3 linked regions of the Rhinolophus ferrumequinum genome follow. The protein of the gene in region 2 interacts with the protein of the main gene of each other region in a pairwise test. Links are inferred from orthologs where the notes say so. Each region holds a gene or a part of one and is shown on either strand. Other genes may lie near its edges.

Region 1 (7,282 bases), on a different chromosome or scaffold from region 2:
GCTTCATTTTCCCCATCAGTAAAATGGGACAAATACCACATCTTCACACGATCCTGTGGCAATGAAATAAAACATTTATATGAGAGTATCATCCCTATTACGTTCTCCTGTGTCTTTCTTTGCATCTTCCAAACAGACCTTGTGCTCTGAGAGGAAGCAGCCTTACGCATCCACGTTGGCCCCACGCCTGCTGTACTGTGGGACTCAGTTGATGCCTCTCCCCAGCTTGCCCACTTGTCTGGTATTGGGGGCAGTGTAGGATAGTGATAAATGACCCCAGCCTTTGAGAGCAGAGGGACCTGGCTTTGAATTCCAGCTCCATAGCTTCCTGGCTGTGTGGCCTTGGGCACACTCTGAGCCTCAGTTTCTTTTTCTGTAACTTGGGCCTGATACTAGCAACCTCCTAATAGGGGTGCTGTAAAGTTCTAGGGGGACAACATATCAATACAGGTCCTGGCAGAGTCAGTACCCGTCTAGTGGGGACAGAATGTCCATGGTGTTACAGGGCTCTAGGTATCACACAGCCATTCTCTGTACCCCCCATTCAGGGATCCCTTGTCTCCTCAGACTTACCAGCAGCCAAGAGCACCCACCCCATGGGCCCATCTTCCTCATCCCTCCATACCCTCTCCACCCTGTCCCTGCTTGGGGGAGAAAATAAGAGGGTCCAGGCCAGTGGCTCCTTTTCCCATCCTGTGCCTCAGTTTCCCTGACTGTTAAATGGCAGCAGGACCACAGGCTCTCTCACAGCCTTGTAGTCAGTCAGCAAACATTTATTGAGTACTGGCCACACGTCCGGCCTGGCTAGCTTAGCCAATCCAGGGAAGCAGGAAGCATTTCCCTCAAAAGAGCGAATCAGAAATCCAAGTCAGTGAGAAATTGTTTCTGGCTCGCGCTTCATTTCTTCTCCCTTCCACCTGGGCAGCCTGGGCAGCTTTCTGACCACTCCTGCCTGCCCTCTTTCCCCAGGGAAGGCTGGAGACACAAGGCGCAGAGGGGAAGTGAAGTGACTGGTGAAATGTTGGGGTACAGGTCAAAGACAGTAGGGTGGAGGTGATGACACCACCGGAACTTCTGCTGAGGCTTCTGCCCACAGGATGTGACTTAGGGAGTATTCATGGGAAGTGGGCAGGGGCCCCGGTCTGAGAGACTGATGGTGGCACCCACACAAACCCATGATAGACCCCAATGCTGATATCCCCTCCTCCAGCTCCCATCAGCATCCAGGGCACTCATCCAGTGGTGCTGTGCCATGCCTGTGCTCCACCCCCCGTCCAGGTAGGTGGGGTCCTGACATGGGTACGTGCTGGGGCTTTGTGCCAGACTGGCCTGGCTCAAAATGCCAGTGTGGCCATTGGCCAGCTGTTTTACCCTGGCCAGGTGATGTCACCTCTGAGTTTCAGTGTCCTTATGTGTATAATGGAGGTGATAATAGTACTCAACTTATATGGCTGAGTGAGACTTGAGATAATACCCATAAAGTGCTAAGTGTACGGCTTGGACCATTTATTTTCCTTCAATAAATTGTAATTATCACAATTATTTTCTCCCTCCTTGCCCTCAGCACTCCCACTTTAGCCAATGGCCTCCCTGCTTCTAAGTGTACCCATGAAGCTGATCCCAGATCACTCCCTGGTATGTCACTCGACTACCTAAAACCCTCCTCGCCGGCTCCACACTGCCCTCAGGAGAGGGAGGGCTCCCTGCTCCTCACCGGACCCACAAGGCCCTCCCTGGCAGAGCCCTTGTCCAGAACAGGGCCTCTTGGGACACCATAATCAGCAGACCCACTCCTGCCTCCTCCTACAAGGAGGCTACAAGGCTAAGCATGTGGAGTAAGAGCTGGAGAGTTTCATGCAGATAGAGAGGTTCTGGGGTGCAATCAGGAAGCACAGCCCTAAAGACAGGAAGGCCTGGGGAGTTAGGAAACACAGGAGATTCGTGTGGCCTAGGAGGCGAGCTGGAAAGAACCTCAAATGTCACAATTTTTTTTCTTTAAGGGAGTGGAGGGAAATACCTGCAGACTCTATTTCAGAATGCTCTGGTGGGTACTGTGAGGGAGACAGATGGAGAAGCCGGACTGGGGAGGCCAGGACTCAAGATCCATGGGCAATGGAATGGAGAGGGGCAGATCGAAGGGGTACAGAGGAGGTAAAAGACAGCTTTTCTGGGGGTTGGTTGTTGAGTGGAGCTGGAGGAAGAATCGGGAGGCCCCCTGGAGCCAGGAAGATATCAGAAAGATGCTGGAGAAGGGCTGAGGCAGGGGAAGGGGGAATACGGCCAGGGAGGGAGACACTGGGTGAATGGCAGGCTTGGTGCCTGGCGTAAGGACAGCAGGCCTCAAACAGCACCACTGCTGTAGTCCTGGCCAGGACAGCCTGAGTCAGGAGAATCCCCTTCAGGCAGACCAGGTTCGAGTCCCAGCTTTGTCATTGTGTGACCTTGGGCAAATGACCTCACTTCTCTGAGCCTCAATGTCCTTTTCTGTAAAATGGGTTAGTGATCCTTACTATGACGCTGTTGATTCAGGATTCAGAGGAAACGCCCAGTACTTCCTGAGTACACAGAGGTACTGAGTAAATGCTATTTTTGTGATTACTGACCCAAGGCTCGCGCAGCTCGGCTGGGGCGGGGGTCCTCTAGGTTTCATCCCTGCCTCCCAGAGAACAGGGTCCAGCGCTAGAAGGCCCGGGCATTGCTTATTCGCCGCCTCCAGTGTTGCCGCGCCCCCTGGTGGCCGTCGGTTACCATGTCAACGGCGGGTGGCTGGGGCCCCGGGAGGCGGTGGCGGGGGCCGTTCTCTCCTCCCGGACCTTAGGCCGCTCCCTCGCTGCCTCCCGCCAGTGAGGGGGGGGGAATAGGCGCTCCCCGCGGCAGCTGGCATGTGGCGGTAAACTGAGGCACACGGCGAGGCGCCCCTCAGCCAGGTGTCGAGTGCGGGGCCCCACCTCCGAAGGCGTAGGAGGGGCCGCGGGCTGTGACGCGCCGAGGGCGGCCGGCGGACAGCCGGCGGGAGGCGGCGGCAGCGGCGGCGGCAGGTGCGGCCGCGGAGGACGGGAGGGCGGAGGGAGGGGGCGGGCGGAGGGGGAGGGGAGGGCGAGGCCCGGGCACCTCCCCCTTTATAACGCGCCCCCTCCCGGGCTCTCGGGCCGCCTCCTCGTCGGCTCTTCCCGTCTCGCCCCCTCGCCCGGCCGCCCCGGGCCCGGGCCCGGCCAGGGAGCCCCCCAGGCCGCGGCTTGGGGGCCGTCCCCCCGCCCGCCACCCCGCGCAGCCCGGCGGAGGCGGCGCCGTCGGAGGAGGAGGAGCAGGGCACTGCGGCTGGCCCGGGATCGGGCGCCAGAGCGGCAGCGGCTTCGGCAGCAGCGGCGGCCCGGGCCAATGCAGCGGGACGCACCGCCCCGAGCCCCAGCCCCGGCGCCCCGGCTCCCCGCGCCCCCAATCGGGGCCGCCGCCAGCAGTGGCGGCGGCGGAGGTGGGGGCAGCGGTGGCGGCGGAGGCGCCTCTGCAGCTCCGGTTCCTCCTGGCCTCCCGGGAACTACAAGTCCCAGGGGGCCTGGCGGCGGGCGGCGGGCGGAAGAGGCGGGGTCGGCGCCTCGAGGCCGGAAGTGGCCGTGGAGGCGGAAGTGGCGCGGCCGCGGAGGGGCCTGGAGCACGGCGGCGGGACCCGGAGCGGGAGCAGCGGCGGCGGCGGCGGCTGGGGGTGGCGGCGGCGCGCTAGAGGCGGCCATGGCAAAGCAGTACGACTCGGTGGAGTGCCCCTTTTGTGATGAGGTGACCAAATATGAGAAGCTCGCTAAGATCGGCCAAGGCACCTTTGGGTAAGGATGGGCCCCGAGGGACCCGGTGCCCTGGGCCTGCACCCCTCAGGGCCGACGTCGGGACGCCCGGGGCTGGGCCAGAGGTGGTCGGGGAGCCACTTGGCCCTAGAGTTATTCCCTGGTCTCGCTAGGCCGCACTGCAGTCCGCCGGGGCCTGATGGAGCTGGCTGGCGGGGAGGAGCCTGAGGCCCATGGTGGGGAACGGGCAGGAATTGCAGAGGAGCTTGTGAGGGGAGCAGGATCTCTCCGAGAGACGTCAGGCTGAGGAGAAGAGACTGGGGAGGAAGTAGAGGTTGGGAGAGGGACCGCAGATAGTAGGGTAGCCCACTGCCCTAGGTACCAGGCTCAGCCCTACACGGGAGTCTCTTTTCTGCCCTCCTCCTCTGGAGGGGGAGGGGCGAGCCATGTGAAAACGGCCTGATGAATCTTTTTGGGTCCCCCTTTCGGCCTGCAGGGAGGTGTTTAAGGCAAAGCACCGCTTGACCGGCCAAAAAGTGGCTCTGAAGAAGGTACTGATGGAGAACGAGAAGGAGGGGGTGAGTATGGGTCGGGTGGGCTAGCTGGCCAGCCATCTCCCCGGGGCATGTGGGTTTCCATCCTGCTGCTTCTAGGACTCACGTGTTGAAATTTAGTTTATGTGTAGTAGCTCGAGAATTTCCATAGCCCAGGAAATTTGACTTCCAAATTAAATCTTTCAGTTCAAATATTTTAAAGCATTTGGTATTTCATTCTTAGGCAAATACAAGGTTGGGGCCAGGAGGGGGAGCTCATGCTTGCACTGAATGCACTTGGGCTTGTGAAGTTGGAAAGCCTTTGTTAAAACACTTCCCTTAGAATTTAATTTTGTTCAGTGCAAAAGGAAAATACATGCAATGGCTTTAAAAGGGTGACTAGTACTCAACTGAAAAGGAGTCCCTCTCCCACCACATCTTAGCTCTAGTCCAGCTTTCAGAGATGTGCTTGTTAGCAAGGAACTTGAATGGTCATTTGTGTTACTACCCAGCAAGTTAAACACAGGCACAGAGCTAAAATTTAAAGGTTGAAGAAATTAGGGAGCGTTTAGTGACCAATAATGAAGTGGTTAAGTATCACTATTTCAATTCATTGTCTGAAAGCATCTTCTTGAGGAGTGCATACTACTTTACACCCATTTTACAGATAAGGCATCTGAGATAGCTGATTTCAGAGCCTGTGATCTTACTGTGTCTTCCCAACCTGTTCCCGTTAGTATAGACCCCATGGCCAGTTCCTTGATCTGCAGTGCGCTTTCACTTTTGACCTCCTTTCTTTATTCCACCCAGTTCCCCATTACCGCCCTGCGGGAAATCAAGATCCTGCAGCTTCTAAAACATGAGAATGTGGTCAACTTGATTGAGATCTGTCGAACCAAAGGTAAGTTGTTTGAATCTTGTTCCCATTTTCAAATGGAGAAAATGAGGCTTAGAACTTAAGGCTTTGTTTGCAAAGTTGGAACTGGACACACTTTTAACCCAGGCATACCTACCAACTGTGACTGCTTTCTCTGGTCCTTTCATCGTAGCTGGTGCTTTCCCAGGGTCCGCCACAGCACCTGGCCCAGAGGACTCACTCGGGAAATACTTTACCAGTGAAGGAACCCACAGATGGATTCTGGGTGTCAGTGGGTTGGAGGGGGGTAGGAGCTGGTTGTGGGAAAATGAGTGGTATATGGGATTTTTTATTTTCTTCTTCTTGCTCCTTCCCCATTCTTCCCACCTCAGCTTCCCCCTATAACCGCTGCAAAGGCAGTATATACCTGGTGTTTGACTTCTGCGAGCATGACCTTGCTGGGCTGCTGAGCAACGTCTTAGTCAAGTTCACACTGTCTGAGATCAAGAGGGTCATGCAGATGTTGCTCAATGGCCTCTACTACATCCACAGGAACAAGGTGGGGGAGGAGAGACCGAGGCTTGGTCTGCCTGTACTCCCACCGCTGGGTGGCGGGGCTAAAGGACCCTTGGGAACCTGACTGAGCCCTCACCTTTGCCCTTCTTGCAGATCCTGCACAGGGACATGAAGGCAGCTAACGTGCTCATCACCCGAGACGGGGTCCTGAAACTGGCAGACTTTGGACTGGCCCGGGCCTTCAGTCTCGCCAAGAACAGTCAGCCTAACCGCTATACTAACCGTGTGGTGACGCTCTGGTACCGGCCCCCAGAGCTGTTGCTCGGTGAGGACTCCCGAGTGGGCAGAAGGGGGCAGGGGCTAGGCACTTAACCTGGCCTCAGCCCCCCACTGCCAGGGCTTCTTGAGCCGCCGGCCCCCGGGCATTGCGTCTCAGGAGGCCCTCGGGCTCAAGGGGCACTCCTGGTGCACTCTTCTTCCCAGGGGAGCGGGACTACGGCCCCCCCATTGACCTGTGGGGTGCTGGGTGCATCATGGCGGAGATGTGGACCCGCAGCCCTATCATGCAGGGCAACACGGAGCAGCATCAGCTCGCCCTCATCAGCCAGCTCTGTGGCTCCATCACCCCTGAGGTGGGTGGCCAGGCTGCCTGGGCCTCTGGGCCCTGCAGGATGCAGAAGTCTCCCTGGCAGGGGAGGAGTGGGCAGTGGAACAGACAGAAAGCTCTGGAGAGGCGGCTGGTGGAGGGACAGGGCCTGCTCTTTAAGCCACACAGGCTCTCGGCTCCATCACTACTTAGTTCTGTGGCCTTGGGCAAGGCGTTTGAAATTTTCATCTCAGAGTTGAGTTTCTCTTCTGTGAAACAACTGTGCCTGTGTCAGTCTTGGCACACACATTCCAGGCATTTTATGTAAAAGGGCCCAGCACTTGGGATGTGCCAAATACGTGGTCACTGGTGCTTTCACCTCGGAGGGGTCGAGTTCGCCTTCTAGACGTGGTCTGAGAGCATCTGAATGGAAACATTTTAGTCCCTTCAGGTGCGTGACCAATGGACAAGCCACACACCCCCTGAATTAACTTCATCCTCTTTCCATGCCCCCTTAAGGTGTGGCCAAATGTGGACAAGTACGAGCTGTTTGAGAAACTGGACCTGGTAAAGGGCCAGAAGCGGAAGGTGAAGGACAGGCTGAAGGCCTACGTGCGTGACCCCTACGCCCTGGACCTCATCGACAAGCTGCTGGTGCTGGATCCCGCACAGCGCATTGACAGCGACGACGCCCTCAACCACGACTTCTTCTGGTCTGACCCCATGCCCTCGGACCTCAAGGGCATGCTGTCCACCCACCTGACATCCATGTTCGAATACCTGGCGCCGCCACGCCGGAAGGGCAGCCAGATCACCCAGCAGTCCACCAACCAGAGCCGAAACCCCACCACGACCAACCAGACGGAGTTCGAGCGCGTCTTCTGAAGGCCGGCTGCTGTCGCTTTTCATTGGGGCTCTTGTTTTATTTTCTCTTCTGCTGTGTGACTCACATTGTGGAGCTGATGGGGCATTTGAGTTATTTCTCTGGTGCGTATTTTATTTAATCCCCACCCTG
Region 2 (7,895 bases):
ACTGAGTCTCATTAATGGAGCACCATGGATTTTGGCACTAGGCTTCTTCAAACTTCAGAATAAGCTTTGAAGCATCCTGGACTATGAAACGAAATATACGGAGCCAGAAACGACCATCCAAAGTCAAGAATGTGTTCAGAGGTGGGGCAGGGAGGCTCGCTGGGTTGGGAACTCCTTGGAACACACACCAGATCTCTTTTAGAACAACATTTTCTGTACCTTTCCATTTTGCAAGAACAAGGGGCTTGTTCAACATTCCTTGAGCGATCTCCACGTTCATTGCTGGTTTGGTGACTGAGTTGCCACCAGGAAAGGCAGCCGGAGCAACTACTGAGTAACTGTGGGCAGGGGTCTAGACTGCTGACCAGGCGGCGGCTTGTTCCAAGTTCACAGAAGGGACCATCCTAAGAAGCCCAGCCCCTGGTCCATTCCCTCCCCCTCCCAGCAGCTGACATTAGATGCTCACACACACCTGAACGGGCGCTCCTGAAACCAGAACTCACACACAGCAGTGGAGATGGCTGGCCGCAGAGGGTTCTGGGCAAAATGGCCTACGTTTAAATCCTGGTCCTGCCTCTCACAAGCTATGCCAAAGTCACTTTACTTCTCTGTACCTCAGTTTCCCCTCATATGCATGATGGAAGAGTCACAAGGATTGATAGGACAGTCAAACTCGTGTCTGACTGTACTAAGTACAAGAGGAAGAGACGATACCATACCTCAGAGCCAAACAAATCTCTCTAAAATGAGCACATTTTCTTGAATAAAACTAACTGAATTTGACTGATACGGGTCTTTAACACTTTTGGTAAAACATATCTCATTTTTGATAACTTACCCCTTAAATTTTGGTCTTTAATGTTACTTTCACTGAATGACATTTGTTCGCCTACTCTCACCATTTTCTTTTTCAGGAGCATTCCGCTTTAAGCAAGTACAGGACCAACAGGCAAGTTAAGCGGTATTTCGATTTTTCTCAGAAACAGATCTCCACACACTAATCCTGGGGTTCAAAGGGGTAACAGCGACGCACTGGGGACATTTCTGGAGAAAAGTGATGCTTGAGGTGCTCCAAGACTTTAATGTAAAGGACAGGCGACCCCTGCAGAGAAAATAAAGAGCGACCTGCCTGAGAGGCGGCCCTGGTCAGCTGATTTCAGGAGCAGGACCAAAGGGACCGTTTCACAGCAGGGAAGAGGGGGCGTCAGACTCCGGAGGAAAAGCTTTCGGTGAAAAAACTAATCCACTATTATTGAAATCACCTCCGTCTCCTCTCACAGTATTTTGCAACTGCTGGTAAAACTCCCGATGTCCAGAAAGAGCATCTGACGTTGGAGTCTTTGCGAATCGCCCTACTCATTGCCTGTCATCCCTCACATCCCGCGGCCCAACAAAATCACCTGAGGAGCCTGTACAAACCCGGAAGGCCAGGTCTCACTCCTGACCGAGGAAATCCGAATGTCTGGGGGGTGGGAGCCAGACATCGTTGTTTATTTTGGGTTCGGTTTGGTTTTAAATCCCAAGCGATTCTAATTTGCACCCAAGTTTGGGAAGCGCGGTTTTCGGCCCTGACGCTCCCCCAGCGAACGCCCTCAGGACCAAACCCCACTCCCTGCGCCAATGACATCAACTGCAAGTACAGACCTGACTCTTGGAACCCGGCTGCAGGATTTTGAAATTGTGCAGTTAAACCTTCTGAGACATGTTTCTTGTGTCAAGTGGGTTTATGGTCGGTAGTCACGAAGCCAGACTCGCTCATGTTCGCTCTGGACACTTGGCACCAAATCCGGTTTTCATTTTTTTTTAAAATTAAGTTTAATATTTTGATTGGCCCCATGTCAAATTTTTAAAAAAGCTAAAAGAAATGTCCCAAAGAGAAAATCTCGGGATTTTCAAAATAGGAGCCCTACTTTGAAAAATTGTGGGGTCCTGATCCTTAGGCAGGTGAGCACCAGGACCCAGCTGTCCGGTTGCAGCCGGTCGCACCGCTCTGCCCCGCTCCACCCCGAAGCCCACAGACGTGACCAAAGTGCTGCAGGTGGGGGGCAAACCTCGGGAGTTCCCGGGAGGGACAAGGGCCGCGGACGATCCGGAGGGAGCTCGGGGGTGCGGGGGTGGGGGCGCGCCCCAGGAGCCGAAGAGGACACTAAGTCCCTTGCCGGGAGCCACAGGTAGTTAGCGACAGAGGCGAGCTCTCCGGGCCTCCCACTTCGAGGCTGCAGCTCCACGCCCGGGAAAGGAGCGAGCCGGCTTCAGTGGAAGACGCGGGTGTAGGGAGCCCCGGGAGGTCCCCCGAGGGATTCCCGCATCCTGGGCGTCCGGAAGCCCTTGGGGGGCGCGCCCCGCGAGCCTGGCCCCTTGAGTGGACAGCGCGGGCGCACGTGCCCGGACGCCGGCCGGCACCGCGGGGACCCGAGCGGCCCCCGGCTCCGCACCAACTTTCGCTCTAGGACGCCAAGCCCGCGCAGGAGGGCAGGAAAGTGACGCGGAAAAGTTGCGAGCGCTCGGGGAGCGCCCCACACCCGCCCGCAGCCCGCGCCCGCAGCTTCCCCGCCTCGGGCCGCCGCAGACTCGCCCAGTTCAGAAACGAAACGTCCCGTTCCTCCCACGGTCCCGGCCAGCAGCGCAGCCGCTCCTCAAGGAAGCAGGAAAGGAGGGCCGGCTGCGGGCCGGGTGGCGCGGGGCCGCGGACACGCCCGTACCTCTCTTTTCCTCCAGCGCCGGGCTCCCTGGGAAGTGCGCAGCCAGCAGCAGCAGGAGCACGGCTCCCACAGTCCCCGAGGGTCGCATCGCTGCCCCCAGGCGCTCGCTCCCGCTCTCCGCAATTAGTCCGAGACGGAGCCGGGCGGCTGTGCGTGGTGGCGGCGACTCCGGAGGTGGCCTGTCGTCCGGGCTGGGAGGCGGCGGCCGCCGGGGCAGGCTCGCTGGGGACTCGCTGGGGACTCGGGCAGCCGGGGCCGCGGGCGTGCACACCGTGCGGGGGGCGGAGGCTGCTGCCGCGGCGCAGCGCTCGGAGCTGCCCAGACGTCTAGCTCGCGGGGCGGGGGCGCGGGGCGCCTGGGCTGGAAGGAGGAGGGACCAAGAGCAGGGGGAGGGATCGCGAGGAGCCGAACGCCAGGAGGAGGGAGGAATAACCAGCAGCGGGGACCGCAGGCAGGCAGCCGCGCGGAAGGGGCAGACCACGGTGGCCCCCGCGGGCCCCAGCGCTCGGGCGACGGCGCGGAGCGGGGAGGGGGCGGCGTGCGGGAGCCGGCGGCCGCTCCTGGGAATTCGTGTTCCGAGAGGCGAGTTCCCAGCGCTGTGCGTCAGGACCCAGCCCTCGCGGACTGGCGCTGCTATCTCGGTGACCCAGCCTGCGTCCAGACATTGCCCCCACCCCTTCAACTTGCAGAGCAAACTTGTACCAGCTCCGGTGACCTGGCTGAGACTTATGCCCAAGGCTGGATAATGGCACGGGTGAGGAAACCACCCCTTTATTCTCGCCCAACTCCCCCGAAGCACCCGGGGACCCTACTGGAGGCCGAGGCTGGCTTGGCAGCCAGGTGGTTGGTTCCTCGCTGCGCCCGCGGGCCAGCGGCTGAGTCGGGGCTCTCAAGTCGGAGGGTCCTTCACAGCCCGTCAAGCATCCTCAGAATCGTCTGAAATGAGGGCACCCAACTCCTGGCACAGAGCCGGACGTTGGGAAATGTTAGTTGAATGAATGCACGAGTACCGAGGGAGCCCACAGCTTTCCTAGGCCCGGAGCCAGCCAGGGGTACTTGACAAGCAAATATTCACGGTAAATTACTTTGCAAAAGCCCGGCGCTTGGATAAAGGCTTGATACAAACACTAGAGGAGATGCTTTTATGGAAAATCGAGGTGCCCAGTGCCCTCAGACAGCCACGCGTGACTCAAGCAGGAGAAACACCAGGGAAATTGGCTAAGGATTTGGCCAGAAGAAATTAGGCTTTCTTAGCTGCAGAAACTTAGGTAAATTCATTCAGCAAATTCGCTCCTTCACTACAGGACAAACGTCCTGGGGGGGGGGGCATTCTACAGCCAGACCCCCTCTATTCCTCATAAGTCCCACTGCTGACATCAGGCCCGGTGGGCTCTGGTGTCCCCCCTATTTAAGCAGGAGTCACAAAACTGAAGTTAGTGGAATTACAGCCTGACCTTTGGTGTCACCAGAGAAGGAGGGTCATCTCCCCGTCCAGCAAATGCAGGGCACAGGGTGCCTCACTGTCGGCACAGCCTGTAGTGTTTACTCTGAATTTAGAGTCATTTGTGTTTGTTCCTTTGTTTGCGCACATCAAGATGGCCCTGAGCCCTCCGAACCCCTTCCGCCCCGATGAAGAGGGCTCTGAAGATTCTGCAGGTGGTGTGCTGGGTTCCCTCCACATGTTCCAAACAGGGTTACATGTTACCTGTAATATTTAACAAGGCAGTCTGTGAAGAAACACAGCTACAGAGGTAACACACCTCAGAGAAGGGTAAATCAGAAACACAACAGTGGGACATGGCACAAAGCTGGGGGTGAGTCTTACAACGGATTCCATGCATTTACTCAACAAGGCCGCAAATTTGGCTCCAGAGCCTTCTGTCAAGGAAATCCCATGGCTGGCACAAAACATATTGTCCATTTGCTACAACGCCAATCAGTTGAAGCTGCAGCTAATTTTGAAGACTGCGCAGGAATTTCACCCGTGAGTCCACGAGGAGAAGAAAATGTGTGAAGCCCCGCGAGTTCTCAGTAACCACCCTTTTCTAACAGCAACAACCTGTGCAGTGCTGTATTGTTATCACATCCTTCCATAAAGCAATCACTAGAGGAGGAGGCAGAGCTTCTGGCGCACAGACCCACCCTGGCTGGATCCATCCTCTGGGGACACCTTTGTAAGTTTGGATTCCTCCTTGGAGTTGGCGACTTAAGAGGTGACATTCAGGGTGACGTGGTACTCTTTGGCAGGTCGCGGGGTGCACAGGTAACTGTGGTGCTTGTTAGGTACAAAACTGTGTGACTGAGCTGGTGGAAATGACGTCTTGAGAGCATGGAGCTTTGCCCAGACTGGGCCCTGCATAGCTGCGGCTCGCGAACACAGTCTCTCTGCAGAGAGTGATCCCAGGTCACGTCCCAGGCCCAGGCCACCACCACGGGAACAGCGGGAGCAGCCTGACCACATGCCACTAAGTATTGATCACCTATGAGCCAGGGTACACTTTTGTCTGCCTTGTATAGCAAGAGGAAGCCGTGGGTTGGAAAGGTCACCCATGTAACCTGCCCAGTGTCCCAGGGCATGCTTCCTAGTCACGAGACCAGCCTTGAACCCAAATCCCAGCCATGTTCTTCATCCCTCATCACTGAAACTTTTCCAAAATTGAGACAAACAGACTTCAGGATCCCAAATTCAATTTCAGAATATCTGGAAACTCTCTAGAGAGGGTACAACCCAAATCTCACCTTGGCCCGGAGAAAGCATCCATGGCACCAGATTAACCAGGACATACCGAGGCTCTGGTATTTCCCATAGAAAATCTCACGTGGCCCATCAATTTTCCTAACACGCGCTGTTCTTTCTCTTCTCCACCTTCCAAACTGGAGACCTTTTTTCCTCCTCTGATGAGCAGTTTTCCTCTTAGAAGAGGTTTCTGAGCATTTTAAGTAGGCGTTTAAACCTTTCTAGAAGGAGCATGGGAGTAGTCCCCCAAAGGGGACGAAAACAGGGCTTTGTGGCGGGGTGAAGACAGCAGGCCTTCACATATTTAAAGTTCCATCTTGGGCGAGAGGCATTTGACCACCTGTTTTCTCTGGCCTTTGAGGTCAAAGCAAGAATTGATGAGGAAACACATCAAAGTGGCAGATTTCAGAATTTTAAAAATGACCTTTCATACATTGGTAGAGCTGTTTGAAAGTGGAGTGAGCTGCCTCCGAGTGGAATGCGATTCTCCATCCTTAGAAAGACATGTATGCAGGAGAAGTACTCAGGAAGGTTATGCTGAAGGACTGAACCAGGTCCCTTCTAATCCTAGAATTCTGTAGGAACATGCATCTCTAAAACAGCCTTCCATTCCAATGTATTCACACTCCAGAGCTCTTCTAAAGATATTTTAAGAAGACACAAAAATGTGGTAACAGTTTTGCCCTTCGGAGGAAACCTAGGTAGCTGGGGGTTGGTATGGAAGGAGATTTACATTTCAATGGTCTGTCCTGTTGTACCTCTATGGGCAGGCATCACCTATTTCTGTAAGTGAAGGACCAGTGACCTTGGTACGTCCCCTGGCAGAGGGTCCTGGGCAGTTCTGATGTTGGCTTGGTTTCCTCAGCCCTTTTTCTCTCCCTTTGAGTCAAGTTATTTGCATTTGACTCTGAGTTGACACCTATCTCTGCCAGAGTATGGAAGAAGCAGCTTCTTTTTCGGGGATAATACGCTGACCCCAAATGGCTGAGGCCTTCCTTGATCGTTAGTATTCTTAGTAGTATAACATGTCTTTGATGCATTGTCTCTGGGGCTGACGGTTCTGAGATGCCTAAAAGGCAGGGCTGCATTTTGGGATGCTGGTTGCGGGCGCTGTGCTGTGGGAATCACTTTGCACGGGGGTCTTGGAGGCACTTTGGGGACTCCGCATAACGCTTTGCCCCTGCCGAAGGCGGAACACTGAGATTGCATAACTTTGTCCGGGGAGTCACTACTCGTCTCAGGGGTGGTTCTAACTGGAAACATGAGCCTCAAGTTCAGGACCAAGTTCAGGATACAGACATGGTTCTGTGGGCCCATTCAAAATTTCTTCTAATTGAATTAGTGGCCATATTTACAAATCAAGAGATTTCCTATTTATAATGTGGACTCTTGTGTTTCTCTTCAAAAATGGGAAGTGCTGGCCAGCTGGGTCTGCTTTCATGCAAGATGGCAGTTGGGTGGGTGATAACTGTCTCCTTCAGAAAGAACGTTAAGGCTCCGGCTCACCACAAACGTGACTCTCCAGTTCATGGGAACTGCGTGGCTGCTGTAGACATTAAGTTTGCAGCCTCACCCTTCTGGGTTCACGGACTAGTGAATATTCATAGTGAATATTAATGTTCATAATGAATATTAACTTATGCCTCCACACACGTATTGTTCTCATCATTCTCATATACCTGGAGAATGTCAGCCACAATAATGATACGCTAGAATCACGACTTGTGATAAACATTTGTGATTTTACATTCTTCCACATTGAAATACGCTCCTTCAAAGCGAGGCCTACCATGGTGTAGATGTGTTATACATGACCTCTGGACCAAAACCTATCAGCAAATACACATGCACACATGTGGTTCCCATCTCTACTTTTCCTCTCGCCTTTATCTTCCTTCCTCTATCAGACTCATTCTTGCTCATCCCCTGAGGGTCCAATTGAATGGAAAATCAGAAATTATTAAAGTTGTGAAGTTTGTGGAACTGAGCTGCAAGAAACCTGAGTTGTTGTGACTTAGATGAGGGAGGGGCCTCAGAGACAGGGCCCTGACAGTTGTACAGGTATTAGGTTAAATACCTGGTTCAAATGAATTGCTTCAAGAAGGGAGACAGGAATAATAAATAATACTTTGTTTATAAAATAAAATGCATAGGAGTCCTGAGGGTTGTTAGCAATTTTATTAAAATTCTGAGTAGGAATAAACGGCATTTACTCAACATTCAGTCACTGAGTCTAAAGTAGCTGGGAGACAGAGGTCAGTTACCAGTCCTGCCCCCCTAGGACTTGTCAGCCTGCAAAAGGTCACCCAGACCAAGCAGGTGTGGGGTGTGTGTGTGTCAGAGTAGGAGCCTTTCCAGTCTTCCTAGCATCAACCTCATTGATTGCTAAACACCACCATAAATCAGGATGTTTTGCTATTGTACTACAAAAATGCATGTGACACATAACTAGAATT
Region 3 (6,989 bases), on a different chromosome or scaffold from region 2:
GTCAGAGTGGAGAAGGGGTCTGAAGGATGACGGTTACCAATATTTAGAGGGAACTCATAAAGGTTTGTTGACTTCAGTGAAGCAAATTTAGCCAGGAAGATGGCGTCTGTGCGAGTGGGTGTTGGTGAAGGAATTATAGCATGTGTTCATTAAATGCTTTGTGGAATGATGGAGAAAAGACTGGAGGATCTGATGCAGGGATGGAAATGTGGTTGTTTGAACAGAACACACTAAGAGATTAATAAATGCTCCTTGGGTTAATTGGGGGAAAGGAGCGGTTGGGAAGATAGCCATCTGAGTGGGGGAGGGGACCTGGCCAGCATACAGTAGGTGCACATTAAGAGCTTTTAGGATTGTGTAGTGTGGAAGGCAGGGTGAAGGTTGTTGAAGGGGGAATCAGGGCTACAAGAGGGGGAGGAGAAGAGGCTTTGAATATGGGGTTCTTAGTAGTATACAATAAGTGTTCATTAAACACTTGTGGCATTAAGTGGAGGAAAAGGTATAGAGAATCCAGCTGGTGATTAGGATTAAAAGGAAGAAAAACTGAAGGAGGGGTCTTCCTAGTATATAGGACTGCTTAACAAATGCCTCCCACACTCTCACACATGAAAAGTATCTGTAAAATAAATAATTGGCTCTGAAAAGAGAGAAAGGACGCTGGTAAGGGCTCCTGGGGGGGAGGGGTTATCTAACCAGTAAAAGCTGATACTCAATAAATTTAGGCTGAAGTAGACCCTTGGGTGGGGGGAGATCTTGAGATAGGGGCAGAACTTCCAGACTCGGAATGGCTCTTATATAGTTAGTAGGTGCTCAAAAAGTGTTTAGCGGCTTAAATAGAAGAAAGGCTCTTTGAAGTATGGACTTAAGATTGGGAGAGGGAATCCTAAGGACACTGAAGGGAGTGGGAAAGGGGTAACCTTTATAATTTGGGCTCTGGACTTATCAAAGTAAAGGAGCCTGGGGAGAGGCTTTATGATTGACAGGGGAGAGGCAGGTTCTCCTAGGGGTGATGAAGTGGGGTATACTCCCTACACACAATAGGTACTGGATCCACTGGAAGAAAAGGACTTTGGGGAGGAAGAGTGAACACAGAGCACACATAAGGCACTCCATAAATGCTGACAGAACCCATTGGAGGGAAGGGCCTTTGGGGAAAGGAGATTAGAATTGAGCACCTGGCAGATAAGGCATAAATGCGCAGTGAATCCATTAAGAGAAAAGGTCTTTGGGGGGGGCGGGGCTAGGGATGGGCATACAATCACTGGACCCATTGGAGGAAGAGTCTTTTGGGGAACGGGAGTGGGGATGCAGAAACTTGATCTATGTAAGCTTGATTCCCTCATCTATGGGAGGAAAGGCTTTTGTGGAGAAGGCACAGAATCAGGTGCTCCACAAATGCTCCAAGGAGTTATTAAAAAGAAAAGGTCTTTGGAAAGAGGGATTGAAATAGTACACACAGCAAGTGCTAGATATCTGATTACTGTATTTATTGGAGGCAAATGCCTTTATGGAGAGGGTCTAAGTTTGGATCATGCAGAAGGTGCCCAATACATGCAAACTGAAGCCACTGGAGGAAAAGGCATTGAGGAAAGGGTTTGGGGATGGGGTAAATAGAAGGCACTCAATTAATGCTTGCTGACTACACTGGAGAAAAGAGTCTTTAGAGAAGGCTCACACAGTAGGCGGTTGATAAGTGCTAGGTGGGTCCATCAAAGGAAAGGTCTTTGAAGAAGTAGCTTGAAAATGGGGGATAAAGGAGGCACTCAATAAATGCCTTCTAGAGCCATTGTAGGAAAAGGATTTTGGGGAGAGAGTCTGAGGATGAGTCACACACAGAAGGCTAAAAAAATGCTCATTTGAGGAAAATGATATGTTTGAGAAAGGGGTTTGGGGACGGGGCATACATCAAACACTTAATAAACGCTTTCTAGATTCTTTGGAGAAATAGGCCCTTGGAGAGGGGGTCCGGAGTTGGGGCACACAGAAGGCATTCAATAAAGGCTCACAGGATCCATTAAAGGCAACACTTTTGGTGAGAAGCTGAGGTGGGATACACAGCAGGCACTCGAAGTTCACTGACTAGTTTTAAAGGTCCTTGAGGAGAGGGCTGGGGTCGGGCACGCAGCTCACTCTGGATACATGCTCACAAGATCTATTAGAGAGAAGGCCTTAGGGCAAGGGTTGCAGGGGACAAGACACATGTCAAACTCTTAACGCATGATCACAAAATTCATGAAGCCAAAGGCCCTGGAGAAAGGCTCCTGTTGAGGCACACTGCAGGTACTTGATACATGCTCACGAGATCCATTAGAGGATAAATAAGGCCTTTGGTGCGAGGGTTGGGGGGGCAGGGAACATTCTGCTCTCAAATGTTCACATGACACATTAAAGCCAACGCTTTTGGGAAGGAGGTACACAGCAGGTGCCCCATAACCTCTCCCTGTATGGATCGAGTGGACCTGGGGTGGGGTAAGGGCGGGGTACAAAGGAAGCGGCCAGCATAATAATTTAAAGGAAAAGGTTTTGGGCGAGGGGGCTCAGGTGCTAAGCACACAAGTGGTGCTCGATAATTGCTCGTCACGGAACCATCTGGGGACCCAGGCCCATGGAGAGACATCGGGGCAGTGGCTTACCAGTCGGTGTGGGGCTCGTCGATGACCAGCAGCACCCTAGCGGCGGCGCCCCCACGGCCTGCGCCCCCAGAGCCGCCGCCCACCTGCTCGCTAAAGGTGGCGGCCGCGGCCGCAGTGGTCTGCTTGACAGCGTTGGACAGCGACGAGAAGAAGCCACCACCCCCGGAGGACCCTGGGCTAGGGGCGGCCGGAGAGGCCACAGGGGCGGCTGCGGAGGCCCTTTCGGCACTGGCGGTCGTGGGACCGGGCGTGGCTCCGGGGCTGGGGGCAGCAGGTGGTGGCGGGGTCGGCTGCGGGCGTTGCAGGTCTGTCATGTACCCATTTGGCAGATTGGCCATGAAGTTGCTGTCCGACAGGCGGCGCCGCAGGTAGTTCATGGCTGCGGCGCGGGGCAGGGGGTCCTAGGAGCAGTCTGGTCAGGAGCCGCGGGGGCGGACCGCGCCGAGCCCAGGAGCACAGCTGCTCTCAGGCACGACGCGACTCTTTCGCTGCCCGCTGCAGACTGAGGCAGCGCTTAGTCGCGGCCGCCGCAGCGCGGATGGTCGCGCCCGTGCGCCCCTATCTCGTGCCCCGCGTGGTGCAGTCCGGCAGGGCCGCCGGCGGCGTGGACGCGACCAAGGCGACCGGGAAGGGGAGTTTGTGGAGGAATGGCGAGTGACGTCAGCGCGCCTTCAGTGCTGGGGCGGCGGTGGCGCGCGCCGGCTGGCGGGGGCGAAGGCGCTGTCCGCGGTGCTGAAGGTGGCAGTGCGCACGCGCCACGCCGCATCTTGTTCCCCTCCCCCCCTCCGATTGGGGATGCGCAATTTGGGGAGTGGGGGCGGGGGTAGGTGCTTGTCCGAAGGTTTGGGGTGGGTGGTCAGTCAAGCCCCCCACCCCACTTCATCCTGGTCTTCATACTCAGTCGCATCCACACGCAGGACCCTCCGCAGATACTTGGTTTCCAGTGTTGATATTCATCACAGAAGGCATGTATGGGGGGGTGGGAATGGAGGCATACACAGAGACACAAAAGTACAGAAATAACTCCCTCATGGCGAGGGGTAGGGGTCACACGCAATACCCGCAGCGTGATCAGTTTCCCACTTCTACACAGGCTCAGCTAGGCAGAGAGGCATGCGGGGGTGGCGTAGACAGCAACAGACAGGCGGAGTTGGACACTTGGGCGGGGTACACACCCTTGCCCTGGGGGGCTGGAGACGCACGGGAATGACACACACAAAAGTAAGGAAACACACGAGGCATGTACAGACAGAGAAGACACACCAATCTAGGAATCTATACACACCCAAGCCCAGGGTAACACACATGGACATGCATGCATACATGCACGTGTATACGCCTACACGCACACGGGCACCACACTAACACACTGAACCAGGGAAACTCACACGAGTATGCACACCCAGCTAAAAGGCATACCCACAGACGATAATGAACATAGATCAGCCACACCGGCACATTCCCTGAAGCTCTAGCCCTGACGTGTGTCCATCTATCCCCCTCTACATACATACTCGGTCTGTACGCCCCCATTCGTCTGCCAAAAATCAGAAAACCACCTGGTATTATCAGTGCCCATGGCTGTCTCCCCCTGCACCAGAGAACTTTCTACAGGCAGAGGCAGACCCATCCTATGGTATGCACACAGTTGGTGCCAAATAATGTTTGCCACATAAGCAAATGACTTTTATAGTCCAGGTAGAGGTGGGCCGTGAAAATCATTCTGTCTGCTCCTATGAGATCCTGACTACAATGAAAGCACAAATTCATTTTAAAATAATTATCTGTTGATTGATTGTACCCAATGCTTAACTGAGCTGTTTTGAGAAATGTATTGTCTCATCCAATCCTCACAACAATAATATGGGGTGGGTAATATCATTTCCATTTTATAGATGAAGGAACCCGAGAATTCCAATTCATTCCCAAAGGGTCACGTTCAATTTGTGATCCACACATTGTTTTTTCCTTTTAAGAATGTGCCAGACGAGGTGCCAGTGTGGCTGAAGCAAATTGAAAGAAGGGGATTTGGCAGGAGATGGGGTCAGAGAGGCTAGCAGGGACAGGATTGAGAAGGGCCTTGTGGGCATAGTGAGCGATGCTGGGAGACCAACTGAGGGGGAAGAAGATATGGCAAGAAGTAGGCAGATTGGGAGTTTCTTCTGCCCGCAGGCTTTTCAGGTGAATCGTCCACTTATTCACGTGTCCACTCTTAATTTATTAAATCAATGGCCTGTTTAAACGAGGTAGTAATATTGTGGGGTCTGGAGTCAGAGTGCCTGCCTTCAAACTAAAAATGATCACCTGACTCACCTCTAGGGCGGTGTGTGTTGGGGTGGGCAGGAGGTAGGGGGAGACCACCTCTATCCTTGCACGTGCTGTGACTTCTGCCAGGCATGTCCTGTTCCCCTCTCTCAGAGATCATCTTTGACCAAGGTCTCTGGGAAGTCCCCTCCCCCAGGACTCAGATTCCATCCCCTCTTCCCTGAGGCTCCCAGGCAAGTCAGAAACTTCCAAACCATCTTCTACTTCCTCCTCCATCCCAGACAGCTTCAGTCGAACCTCCAGGCCTTTGCTTTGGCCATTCCTTTCCCCTCTCTCCCAACACCCTCTCTGGCATTCCATATCCCAGCATTCCCCACATGGGAAACTCCCCACGAATTGGGCATTTCCCAACATTCCAATATGTGCTGTCCAGTTTGTTTGCTCAGTAACTGAAACAAACAAGCTGTGTTGGACCCATGGTGCCTTTTCTGGGGGCCAGGAACTACTGCAGGTCTAGACTTTTCTGGCTCCTCAGGAATCTGTTGCTAGACTGCCTCTTCCTAGGGGCCCCATTTCTAGGTTCCTAGTACTGGTGGACCTCAGCGTCATTCTCTTTCACCAGGTGGCTCAATTTCCAGGGATTAATTTTTTGTAGACTGTTTTGAAGAAGAATGAGGATTCCCCCCCAGAAGTGTCTCAACTCCTTGAGGCAGAGGTAAGGCTCCTCTACACCGTTTCCATGTTCTCCAGCAGGAATGTGTGTACAGAAGAGGCTCCAAGAATGGTTTTCTTTGCTGTGAACGACTGTGAATCCCACACGTCATGTTTGTAATCAGTATTGTACCTATGTTTATAACACACACACACACTTATCCATGTTGCCCAGATGTGCACCCCCCCCCATAACGCACACATTGTTATGGTGCACACATGGTTGTAACTTCACACTGCACACACTCAATACATCCTTAATTCTTGCACAGATCCATAGGTCTGCATATCACACATGCACAAGGATATGTGCTACATAATGCACACGCACGAACTTCCACTGTCTTGTAAACGCTCTCTTGTACTCTGTAGTAGCAACCAGAACCCCTCACTTTGGCTTCTTCCTCCCAAGATGACCAAATATTCATCAACCCCGTCTTCATCTCAACCCATCAACTGGCCCATTTTACACAAGGGGAAATCAACCCAGGGAAGTGAGCACGCTGACAGACTCCGGGTGCCACAAATCTCCCATCTGAACTCTCCCACAGTGATGCCCCTCCACGCACAGCACGAAGTCCTAAACTCTGCTCCTGACATGGTGCTTCAGAAATGGCCAGCCTATTACCTTTCGTGGTTTTGTTTCCTCCTTGGTAAATGGGGACGTTACTGATCCTTACATGTTCATGGTGGATTAAACAAATTCATGCTATGGAGGCTTAAAACACTACCAGGCACAAAGTAAGCACTAAGTATTAGCTATTACCATAATTATGATGATTCTAATACTTTGTCCCATTACAAGGGACCCAGCATTCGTAAGTGCTAAATGAATGATCAAATGCTAAGAGCATTAGTGTCTCGGTTTGTTCTCTGCACTGTGGAGACACAAACCACTCTGACTCTTCTTCCCTACCCCTCATGATGTCCAAGACTATTGTTAGTATATAGTAGGCGTTGATAAGTGTTGCATATTTAAAGAAAAGGATCACCTACTCTGAGTCTATTCCCTCGCTCAGATGTCCTCACCTTCTACCAGCCCTCCTCCACCCCAGATGCCCAGACTTAGCTCTGGTATACAGTAGACACTAATAAGTGTTGAATGAATGAAACAATGCTAACAGGAATCTGTGTCTGGGTGTGTCTGGGCTCCTCCCGGCAGATGCTGACTCTAGCTTCTCACAGGCACTTCCTTGCCACCGCCCCCACTCCGGCCGGTGGAGCTATTTGTCCCAGCTAACTGCAGCGTTGGAGCTGGGCTGTTGGGAGTGGGTGGGTGCAGGTGCTGGCGGAGCAGCCAGGCGCCCACCCCAATCACCTCAGGACTGACGTGGAATCCGGAATCCGCCAGCAGAGAGGCTCTGGCAGGTGGGAACCTAG

The links. The genes of interacting proteins can lie anywhere in the genome.
Region 1: the proteins of EGFR (region 2) and SH2D3C interact in a protein complementation assay, tested with the Homo sapiens proteins (3 studies listed by BioGRID and IntAct, with this or other methods). The link is inferred for Rhinolophus ferrumequinum from reciprocal best matches to the Homo sapiens genes EGFR and SH2D3C.
Region 3: the proteins of EGFR (region 2) and SYN1 interact in a protein complementation assay, tested with the Homo sapiens proteins (2 studies listed by IntAct). The link is inferred for Rhinolophus ferrumequinum from reciprocal best matches to the Homo sapiens genes EGFR and SYN1.

The regions. Positions count from the first base shown.
Region 1 is NC_046295.1:76,826,811-76,834,092, forward strand, and holds the start of SH2D3C (SH2 domain-containing protein 3C), read right to left. Parts: upstream 3,011-7,282; 5' UTR 2,651-3,010; coding exon 2,604-2,650; exon of another isoform or gene 2,501-2,603; intron 1,836-2,500; exon of another isoform or gene 1,565-1,835; intron 1,279-1,564; exon of another isoform or gene 1,139-1,278; intron 1-1,138. Other genes in the region: CDK9 (cyclin-dependent kinase 9), read left to right, coding at 3,379-3,818, 4,273-4,354, 5,120-5,210, 5,558-5,724, 5,835-6,006, 6,165-6,313, 6,787-7,152. UniProt on the Homo sapiens protein: Acts as an adapter protein that mediates cell signaling pathways involved in cellular functions such as cell adhesion and migration, tissue organization, and the regulation of the immune response.
Region 2 is NC_046303.1:4,395,635-4,403,529, reverse strand, and holds the start of EGFR (epidermal growth factor receptor), read right to left. Parts: upstream 3,017-7,895; 5' UTR 2,791-3,016; coding exon 2,703-2,790; intron 1-2,702. UniProt on the Homo sapiens protein: Receptor tyrosine kinase binding ligands of the EGF family and activating several signaling cascades to convert extracellular cues into appropriate cellular responses.
Region 3 is NC_046284.1:86,361,986-86,368,974, reverse strand, and holds the start of SYN1 (synapsin-1), read right to left. Parts: upstream 3,011-6,989; coding exon 2,634-3,010; intron 1-2,633. UniProt on the Homo sapiens protein: Neuronal phosphoprotein that coats synaptic vesicles, and binds to the cytoskeleton. Acts as a regulator of synaptic vesicles trafficking, involved in the control of neurotransmitter release at the pre-synaptic terminal.